3 linked regions of the Saccharomyces cerevisiae S288C genome follow. The gene in region 2 interacts genetically with the main gene of each other region. Each region holds a gene or a part of one and is shown on either strand. Other genes may lie near its edges.

Region 1 (3,678 bases), on a different chromosome or scaffold from region 2:
CATTTATTGGTTACAACATGGCTTGTTTTCTTGTCCCTAACAATCGCCAGGAGAATTTTTTTTGAAAATTTTCTTCTATTTTAATTATGTACATAAATGTCGTCAGTTAACTACAAATGAGCTATCTATCAATATGCTTTTTTTTTTTTTTAATTACTGCTCAAGCTTGCTATCCCCTTCTACCTCCGTTTCCTAGCACAGAAGAAAGTGCCCATATATCATTATATTCAATTTTTAACTTGTCTCTTTTTCTTTTCTGCCTCGGTTTCGCGCATCTACTCTACGCTATATTTTCATAATCATCTCATTTAAATGGCATTCATTCCCTTCCGCGCCAGTATATTAGTTACTAATCATACAGTTTCTTGTTTCAATTTTTTAGATTTTAATTAGCGGTTTTTTTTTGGTTTTTCTTAAGATTGGTTTTATGATTTTTTTTTTTCTTTTTCAAATTTTTTTATTATTTTTTCAATTTTTCTTTTTAAAAGGCTTGTGGTTGACTAGTCCTTTCTTTTTAGGGGTTGCTTTCTATGAGAACGTGTTCCATTAGTAAATATGCCAGGAGGATTATTGCTCGTGGGCTTCTTTACTGTTTTTCTTTCTAAGCATACTTCAATACCATCAATTGACTTTTTCTTCTTCTCTAAAGCATCGATTTGGCTCTTTTGAGTTTCAAAGTCGACGACGGCAAAATTGTCTGCAGCTGTTATCCTCATAACTTTACCGAATTCTTTTTCTAAGGCACTTCTCAATTTTTCTTCTCTTAAGCCATTTGTACCTCTAATGTAGATTGGATAAAAGCCGTCCTTGTTAACGGTGCTGAATACTGGTTTTTTCTTATTTTTGCTGTTAGCACTAGCGTTGTCCCTCCGATTCCCCATTTCAAATTTTCTTTCAGTCGGTTTCTTGGGTAGTGTTTCAGGTCTGATGTATTCAACCGTGGTATTATTTTTGCTAATTCTGTCGGAGTTTTCATTCATCAACTTTGAGGCCCATGTCATCTTTGGTGGATTCGCAACGGGCTCTGGAGAAGATGAAGGTGTTGAAGCGTTATTGCCGGATTCTTTGGCGTCGGAAACCTGTGGCTCTATTGGTTTAATTTCAGTTTCAGCTTCCTTTACGCCCCCAGGTACCGGTTTTTCATCACTAACTTCTTTACCGTTGGGCAAAGAAGAGTTATTAACAGCATTTATGGCCTCAACAGAGCCTTCCTTTGTCTTGATTGGTGCAGCTTTCTTTTCGGCTTTGTGAGATTTTTCATTTAGTTTAGTAACGTTTCCTAACTCTTCTGTAGAGACCTCATCTTGTTTGTGGTTGCCCTTAGTACTAGATGGTACCGTTTCGGTGTGAATCTTGGACTCTTTAGTGACGGGTATAGCCCGAGGTTGACTATGATCGACAATTGGTTTTTCCTGAGTTGACGATTCAGTTGGCGCAGTTGTGTCTTTGACCGTTTCCTTTTTGGCCTTTGGTTTCGATATTTCTGGTGATTTTTCTTTTTCTTTTTCTTTTTCAACTCCGGACTCATGCCTTATTTTATCTTCTTCAACTGCACTGACAGAGTTCTCCTCGTTAGATTGTGACAAAGAAGCATCTGTTAAGACATAAGGCTTGAATGAATTGGAAATAAATCTGATTATATCATTGGTAATGTCAAACGTAGACCCATTGCTGGATGGTAGCAGGATAAATGTTTGACAAAACTTATAGACCGGAGTTCCTGTCCAAAACATTTCACCCGTGGCCATGATCAGAATGCTTTTGTGCAAGTGCCCAGTGTACTGGAAATCTATAGTATCTAATTTTAGTTTCAAGCTCCTAACTTTGGCATCATTTCTAGAAAAAAACTTATTAATGTTTTCACGTCCAGTAACTTTCACCGTTGGAAGAACGTCATCTTTTTCGTTTGTTGACTTGGACTGATAATTAGTATGCGTCAACTCGGCTGTACTTGCATAAAAATATGCCAATTTGGAAGGGTCGGTCCTCATTCTTTCGTAGTAGTTTTGCAAAAAGGCAAAACATATGTCTTGAACGGTAACACCCATTTTCTTTTATTTGATACTTCTATTCGAGGGTATGACTTCAAATGCAACTATTAGTGACAAGGTAATAAAACTATAACACACTTGAAAAAAAAAATGCGATGGTTTTGTAGTATTCTTCGTGATCTTTTTCTCTTTAAAAATCAACGAAAAATAAAGATGTATCAGTAAAATAAGTTTTCAACAGATTCTCTGTAAAATGATTGACTAATTGAATATTTGAAAGAAAATGAGGTTTGAACGAAAATAATAAAACAAAAAAAAAAATGTAATTAAATGGGCAAAAATGAATTAAAATGTAGGGAAAAAACACAACTTGAAGAATTAAACAGAGTAAAAAAACGAAAGCTTGTGGTAGGTGATATAAATAAATTAAAGCAATATCTTACTGTTTATTCTTCCTCTAGAATAGTTTTGGTACTAACGGTAACTAGAAAACTGAAGAAGTTTTTCGTATTCTTCTAATACTCAAGCAAAATATCCTATGTCAAGTACTACCACTTGTACAGTCTTCGTTTTGTACAAATTAGGTATGAATTGCTCTTTTTTGAAACAGTAATGGGATAAAAAACAAATGACTTAGTTTAACGTCCGCCGGTTGCGATAGAACTTTTAACCGTAACAATAGTAACAGTGGACAGGAAAAAAAAACGGTACGAAAAGGTAATATTGCCTAATCTGAAATAATGTAGTCACTCTAGAACTATTAATAAAGAAGCTTGTACTTCCTCTTATCCCTGGAATGGACGGTTATGCTGCTTGCAATATGTCATTCTTTCATTAATCGCCACCTGATGTTTTTCGCTGCTTTGGACGAAAAAATTTCCAAGAAAAAATAAATGGTTAAACAAACTACAGCGCACGTGACCGATAACTATACGGGAATAACGCATCAATCTCCTGTGGAAGAGTGCTTATTGCATCGAAGAACCAATCTGTATTACTACATGTCCAATCATAAGCTGATGTTGCTTTTAAACTTTTTTTTTTAAAATTGTGTATACATATAGTACATAAATGATCATTGGTCCCCATCAATACCGTATATGACACCTTGGTACTTGGCGAAATCCGTACCGTTTGGGAACTTATGCATAGACAGCTTGCTCAATTGGCAGAAGGATAGAAGCATCAATAGACTCTGGCCGCCTGTAGTAGTAAATATAGAGAATCTTGGTAGCCCTAACTCATCGGCAAGTGTGGTTAGTGAATATTGCTGCTGCTGTTGCTGTTGTGAAGATTGTTGCAATTGAGGGTTCTTGAACTCCTGGATTATTTTATACACCAGGTTTAAGTCGTAGAAATTGGGCATGTATTGATGGACCCACCACTCGAAATCCTCCTTGTTGTTGGGCATGGAGTCATTCATTAGAATGTTGATCAGGAAACCTAGATCATATGCCGCATGGTATGTGATCCAAGTAACAGAATCATCCATCATTAAACCAGAGTCCATTAGAAGCTGCGAAAATTCAAATACATCGATGCCTAAATTTTCGTGTTTTTCGAAGTTGATACCTGATTTTCTGAGTAATTCTAACGATTCTGTGGACATGATTTCCTTCTTTGGGTCAAATTCAAAATTGAACTGCCACGTTGAGGGACCGTTGTCAGGCTTATTGCCGTTGGCGTC
Region 2 (2,795 bases):
ACCAAAGAATGAGTAAATCTCCTCTTTTCAGTACTTCCAGATTAGTCTTCAAACAGCTTTTGAGTTTTTAAAATATAAACCGCCTCTTAGTTCATAGGCAGTCTCCACGCGATGCCGCCACTTCTCCAATTTCTTGATAAATAAGGATGCTTCCTACATTCAAAGATTTCAAGCTATTCACTAAAATAACACCAATAATTCGTGGGTAACCACATTTGCAAATTGTTGATATATAACAGGCTAACTTCGGAGCACGCTCTTTTATCTGGTTGTATTATTGCCGTAAGGGGCAATAACGGTATATAAAAATTTAATATTAAATAGGAAAAGTAAAATACGAATGGAGGTAGAAAATAGTAATATTCTAGGAAAGAAAATGCTAGGAGAACAAATGATACCTGATTTTCACAATTTTATGACGAAGTTTCTCCATTATTTTCATTTTCGTTTTCAATTTCGCCTAGGATTTCATTTCGAATTTTTTCTTCTTTCTTTAATAGTTAGGTTTTAAAACCACCACTTTTCGTCAAATCAACATCTTTGGATTCAAGTTTCTCAACTAACTTGAGTCGTTGTAGTTCTTGCCACCTTGTCAGTTGAGCTTGTTTATGTAATTCAAATCCAAATATTTTTGGAACATATCTTTTAGTTGGGTGTTTGGGTACCATATCTGGAAATGCTTGCAAAAACATACCTGGAAAACTTGTTCCAAAGTATGCACCATCAATGGAACTATGTCTCGATGATTTTGGTATATAAAGATCCTCACAAGATGGACAATATAACTTGACACAATCTATACCAGGAATGTCATGCAAACCAACCGGTAACAACTGTTGTAAATTACAATACACACGGGGACATCTTCCAAAGTCCGCCTCTTTGTACTTAGCGTACATTTTTTGCAATCCTTTGATAGTTATAATGTAGCGTGCATGGATGAGACCATACAGCTTCCGGGAATCTGATTCTAATTGTTCTAAACGGGCATGTGTCATATTCTCTAGGATACTATCATCCAAATCATCCACAATATATTGTACCACGTAGGAAAATTTTGAAACTGTCTTTTGCAAGTTCATCAGATTAAAACGATCAGTGATGTACTCAGGATCGACATCACAGAAATATTCATGGCCTTTTCTCCCAAGAAATAAATCGATCCACATATCCACGTATTCCGATGAGTCAGAGTCATCATCCATGAGGACATCATCTTGTTCCACTCTGGAGCCTTCTCTAGTCACTGTTCCCACATTCTCCGATCTACTGCCCATGATCTGCTTTTCTATCAGTTCTCTAAGTCCCTTAATCTTGAATAATTTGAAAAAAGCTAGTATTTCTCAAGTAAAAGATTGATGAAAAAATACAGCAGGAAAATTCCACGTATCTGGAATGACCAACTTCTTTAAGAATGTGATTTACTTATTCTATTTGGTGCTTGTTTTCATTTGATAAAGGATTGCCAATACACCTCCATTTATTCGCTTTCATATTTTTTCTTCCTGGAAGGTCGACAAAAAAAAGCGCGAAAAAAATATCAGTTAATTCGGCTAGAATTATGAAGTCTTCATAAAACAATATACAAAAAGTGCTAAATCGTCCATACAGAGGAATACGCCACGCAGCAAAGGAGTTCCTACACAATCCGGAACAATGAGATTATTAAAGTATCCTTTGGATATTCATAATGAACAAGTGAATGCCTTAGCTGCCCTTGGTCCCTATATCATATTGGCAGGCAGTGGGGGTCACGTGATGGCGTGGAGACAACAACAACTAGTCGATACTGCATTCGATAGGGTTATGATTAAGGATTTAAAGCCAGAAGTTTCTTTCCAGGTGGATCAGGATACTACCGGTGATATTTTTTTCATAACAGGTGATCTCGAAACATTGTATATTGGATCTGAACATCGTCTGTGGGGTTATTCAGGTTGGCTCTGTAGAGATACAAATAACATCAATTCTGTCGAAAAAATGAACAGTAAGCTTCTGTTCGAGTGTAAATCTCCAAGCACAATAACGGATGTGAAATATGACATAAACTTAGGTATCTTATTTGTTCTTTTAAGTAATGAAAATAAGATACTATTATTTCGGCATAAAACCTTTGATAAACTCTCTGAAATAACTATTGACAAGGCGAGCAAACCTATTACAGGCATAATAGATCCTACTGGCCAAACTTTTACTGTTATGACTTCAGATAGATCAATTTTAGTCTATCAAATTAACAAAACGGGTACACACAAACTCATAAATAAACTTACGCAGCATGTACAAATGTATCCATTACATTATAGAATCTCAATGTCACCTCAGGCAGACATTTTACCAGTGATAAACTCGGTGAAAGGTGTGCCGAATAATGCTACCAGCTGTACCGCTTTACTTGACAGAAATAACAACTACAAAGTTACAAAAACACTGGTAACACCTTCTTCAAATGGATGTAGAGTTCTTGTTTATTCTCCAGCATTTTATGAAAAGCCTAATTTGAAAAAGGGCACCAGCACACGCTATAATTTAATCGCCACTTCGGGATCTACAGACGGTACTATTTTGGTTTGGAATACGAAGAGAATGAAACCTTTGTTTAATGCTCTCCAGGTTTCCTCCACCGCAATAAACGATATGTCTTGGTCACAGGATGGGTTCACCTTGTTTGCCATTTCAAACGACGCGACATTGTATACATTCGCATTCCAAGAGAAGGATTTAGGTGTAGCATTGCCTCAAACGGAAATCAAATCGTTACAAGAAGTAAACAAAAAGCTTCCAAAGCTTGAAGA
Region 3 (2,656 bases), on a different chromosome or scaffold from region 2:
GGTCGTAATGGGGTCTCACGTCTGCATTGGTGAGGATATTAGTTGCGGTCGATAATAAGTGGAATTTGTGTATAATTGATGGATTGTCCGGGTGTTTGTCAGGATGATACTTCAGGGCAAGGGTCCTGTATTTGCGTTTAATTTGGGGCAAATCATCGTAGATGGTATGGACGTCCAGGGGGGTCGGTAATTCTAATACATCATATAGGTTCAAACGTTGATTTATTACGTCTTCCAATTCGTGTCCTGGCATAGTCGTGGCGAGGCTTGTAGTACGGCGATGGACTTGCTTTTTGATTTTGCTTTCATCTTCTAATGTCTTGCGAGATAATATGCAAGGAAAACAAAGGAAAGAAAATACAAAGTAATGCGGCTTGCATATATATATACATATATATATGTATATATGTGATATATATATGTGTGTGTGTGTATATATATTCATGAGTGTATAAAATAGATATATGAATGCGTGCGAATGTAGTTATAATTAGGTGTGTTCAGTTGGCCCATCTTTCTACCATTTCATTCATCCATTGCGGGCCTTGTAATTGAATGATCTTGGGCAGCTCGTCTAGCCCTTCCAGCAGGCCATCTTCATTAACGATCGCCGACTCCATGAACCCGTTCAACAGCTTTAAAATGAAGAGACAGTTTGGATACACAATGCATTGCGAATAAGGGGGGTTGCACCAGTACTCCAGGTATTTCAAGTAGTTTTTGAAGTTAGGAGACTTCCAGATCTGCTGTTGAGTGAGTAAGTACGTTACGTATTGGATGTTTGCCAGTGACTGGATAAATTCGAGCTCCACTTCGAACCTCGTGGGGAGAGGATTTTGATCCGAGGAAGGTGTCGCTGGTGCGTTTCCATTAGTGCTTGACATCCTGGGTGGAGCTTGGGGGAACTTTGCCGTCTTATGAGTGCTATAAGTTTTGGCTTACTTTGCCTCATTTTTCCTGCATTTCTTTTTCTTTTTCATCCTTTAAGAACACGTTAGCGGGAAAACCGTGAAATAAAATACAAAACGAACTGTTCGAAAAAAGCCAAAGGGGAAACGCCTAAAACTCCACTGAAACCAGCTATAAAGCACGGCATATTACAACAATGTCTAGCAAATGGTTTAATGCTATACACCTACTGGTGTGCCCGTTGACGGTACTGGTAGGATATCTCATGAACGCGTATGGCTACGGTGCGGCGCTGCAAGCAACCCTGAATAAGGATGGTCTGGTAAATGCTATGTTGGTAAAGAAAGGGTGGTTTTGGACTTCCTTGGTCGGATGGTGGTGTATTATACGCTACCGTGCGGTGCCGGGGGCAACCGGCAGAGACCGAAGACACATTGTCCAGTCATTCAAAAGGTATGCCATACTGACAGTGTGGTGGTACGTATTCACGCAAGGTATATGGTTTGGCGTAGGCCCCATCATGGACTTGGTATTCGTATATACGGGTGGCCATTGTCACTATGACGTCTTCGATGATGCAGGTCACGTGAACGAAGACTTCCAGGGTTCTGTCACCCGGACTAATCGCGCGTTGGCGCTCATTCACAATGTCCTCACTTTGCACGGACACCACCAAGAACACCGTCAGCAACAACTCTGGGACCGCTCCATAGGGTCGATCCAGGGCGCCCTGCAGGCGACGCAACCGAAAACCCCAAAAAACGTAACGGCCAGCGCTGCCGCTGCCATCAATACTTTTATTCATGACCAGATGCACAGGTGGCAAGGTCCGTTAACCACCTCGGCACAGTGCAGACGTTTTGGAGGCCATTGGGCTGGAGGACACGATCCATCCGGGCACGTGTTCTTGGCCACCTTGATGTGCATGTTTCTTCTAGGTGAGCTACGTGTGTTTGGGCGTCGTGCACTGGCTCACTTGTACGCGCAGAAATGGCAGCTTGTACGATTGGTGACCCGCCTTTTCGACACTGGACCGCTATGGACGTGGCGGCGGTGTGGCGGCGGCTCAATGACCTGTGGCGCCCGTTTGTGGCGTGCGATAGTCGAGCCGCCTGTCACGTGCGCGGCCGCCCTGCTCCGTTTGACGCGATGCATAGCATGCGACCACCCAGTAATCATACTGCTGACGCTATTGGTCACGTGGTTATGGCAGCTGCTGTTGACTGCGGTGGCGTCCCGTTTCCACACCGTACGTGAGCACATGTCTGGATTGCTAGCTGCGTACATAGTGACAGGCCTTGTCTACGCTCGCGACGCAGCCGCGCTACGTCCAGTATGACTCAGGAAAAGTTGGCGATAGACCACGAGCGACTGAAAAAATAACAGCGACTTTTCTCCCGGTAGCGGGCCGTCGTTTAGTCATTCTATCCCTCGGATTATAGACTGTGAATATTGCATATGCAACTTTGACTCAAATTTTTCCAAAATTTGATATATATATATATATATATATGTTTGTATGTATATATATATATACGTATATATATCATATATACGAAAAGTAGAAAAAAAAAGGTGATATTTCGCTCGTGGAAAAGCTAATGCCACAGCTTGTGTTTCGTGTAGTTTGCCTTGCTCCCCTTGATTGAAATAGTCTCCCTAAACTAAAGTTATCAGCAAACAGAACCACCACAGTTACTACTACAACCACATCGCAATATGAAGATCACAGAAAAATTAGAGCAAC

What was found. A genetic interaction does not mean that the proteins touch.
Region 1: mutations in CKB2 (region 2) and BRE5 together harm fitness more than expected from each alone (negative genetic interaction), as found in Saccharomyces cerevisiae (4 studies listed by BioGRID).
Region 3: mutations in CKB2 (region 2) and SOH1 together harm fitness more than expected from each alone (negative genetic interaction), as found in Saccharomyces cerevisiae (5 studies listed by BioGRID).

What each region holds. Positions count from the first base shown.
Region 1 is NC_001146.8:716,280-719,957, forward strand, and holds BRE5 (Bre5p), read right to left. Parts: upstream 2,049-3,678; coding exon 501-2,048; downstream 1-500. Other genes in the region: CCR4-NOT core DEDD family RNase subunit POP2, read right to left, coding at 3,067-3,678. UniProt on the Saccharomyces cerevisiae protein: Has a role in de-ubiquitination. In conjunction with UBP3, cleaves ubiquitin, leading to the subsequent mono-ubiquitination of sec23.
Region 2 is NC_001147.6:404,250-407,044, reverse strand, and holds CKB2 (casein kinase 2 regulatory subunit CKB2), read right to left. Parts: upstream 1,278-2,795; coding exon 501-1,277; downstream 1-500. Other genes in the region: HIR2 (Hir2p), read left to right, coding at 1,657-2,795. UniProt on the Saccharomyces cerevisiae protein: Regulatory subunit of casein kinase II/CK2.
Region 3 is NC_001139.9:269,892-272,547, forward strand, and holds SOH1 (mediator complex subunit SOH1), read right to left. Parts: upstream 885-2,656; coding exon 501-884; downstream 1-500. Other genes in the region: U2-type spliceosomal complex subunit CWC23, read right to left, coding at 1-253; SCS3 (Scs3p), read left to right, coding at 1,106-2,248; methylenetetrahydrofolate reductase (NAD(P)H) MET13, read left to right, coding at 2,629-2,656. UniProt on the Saccharomyces cerevisiae protein: Component of the Mediator complex, a coactivator involved in the regulated transcription of nearly all RNA polymerase II-dependent genes.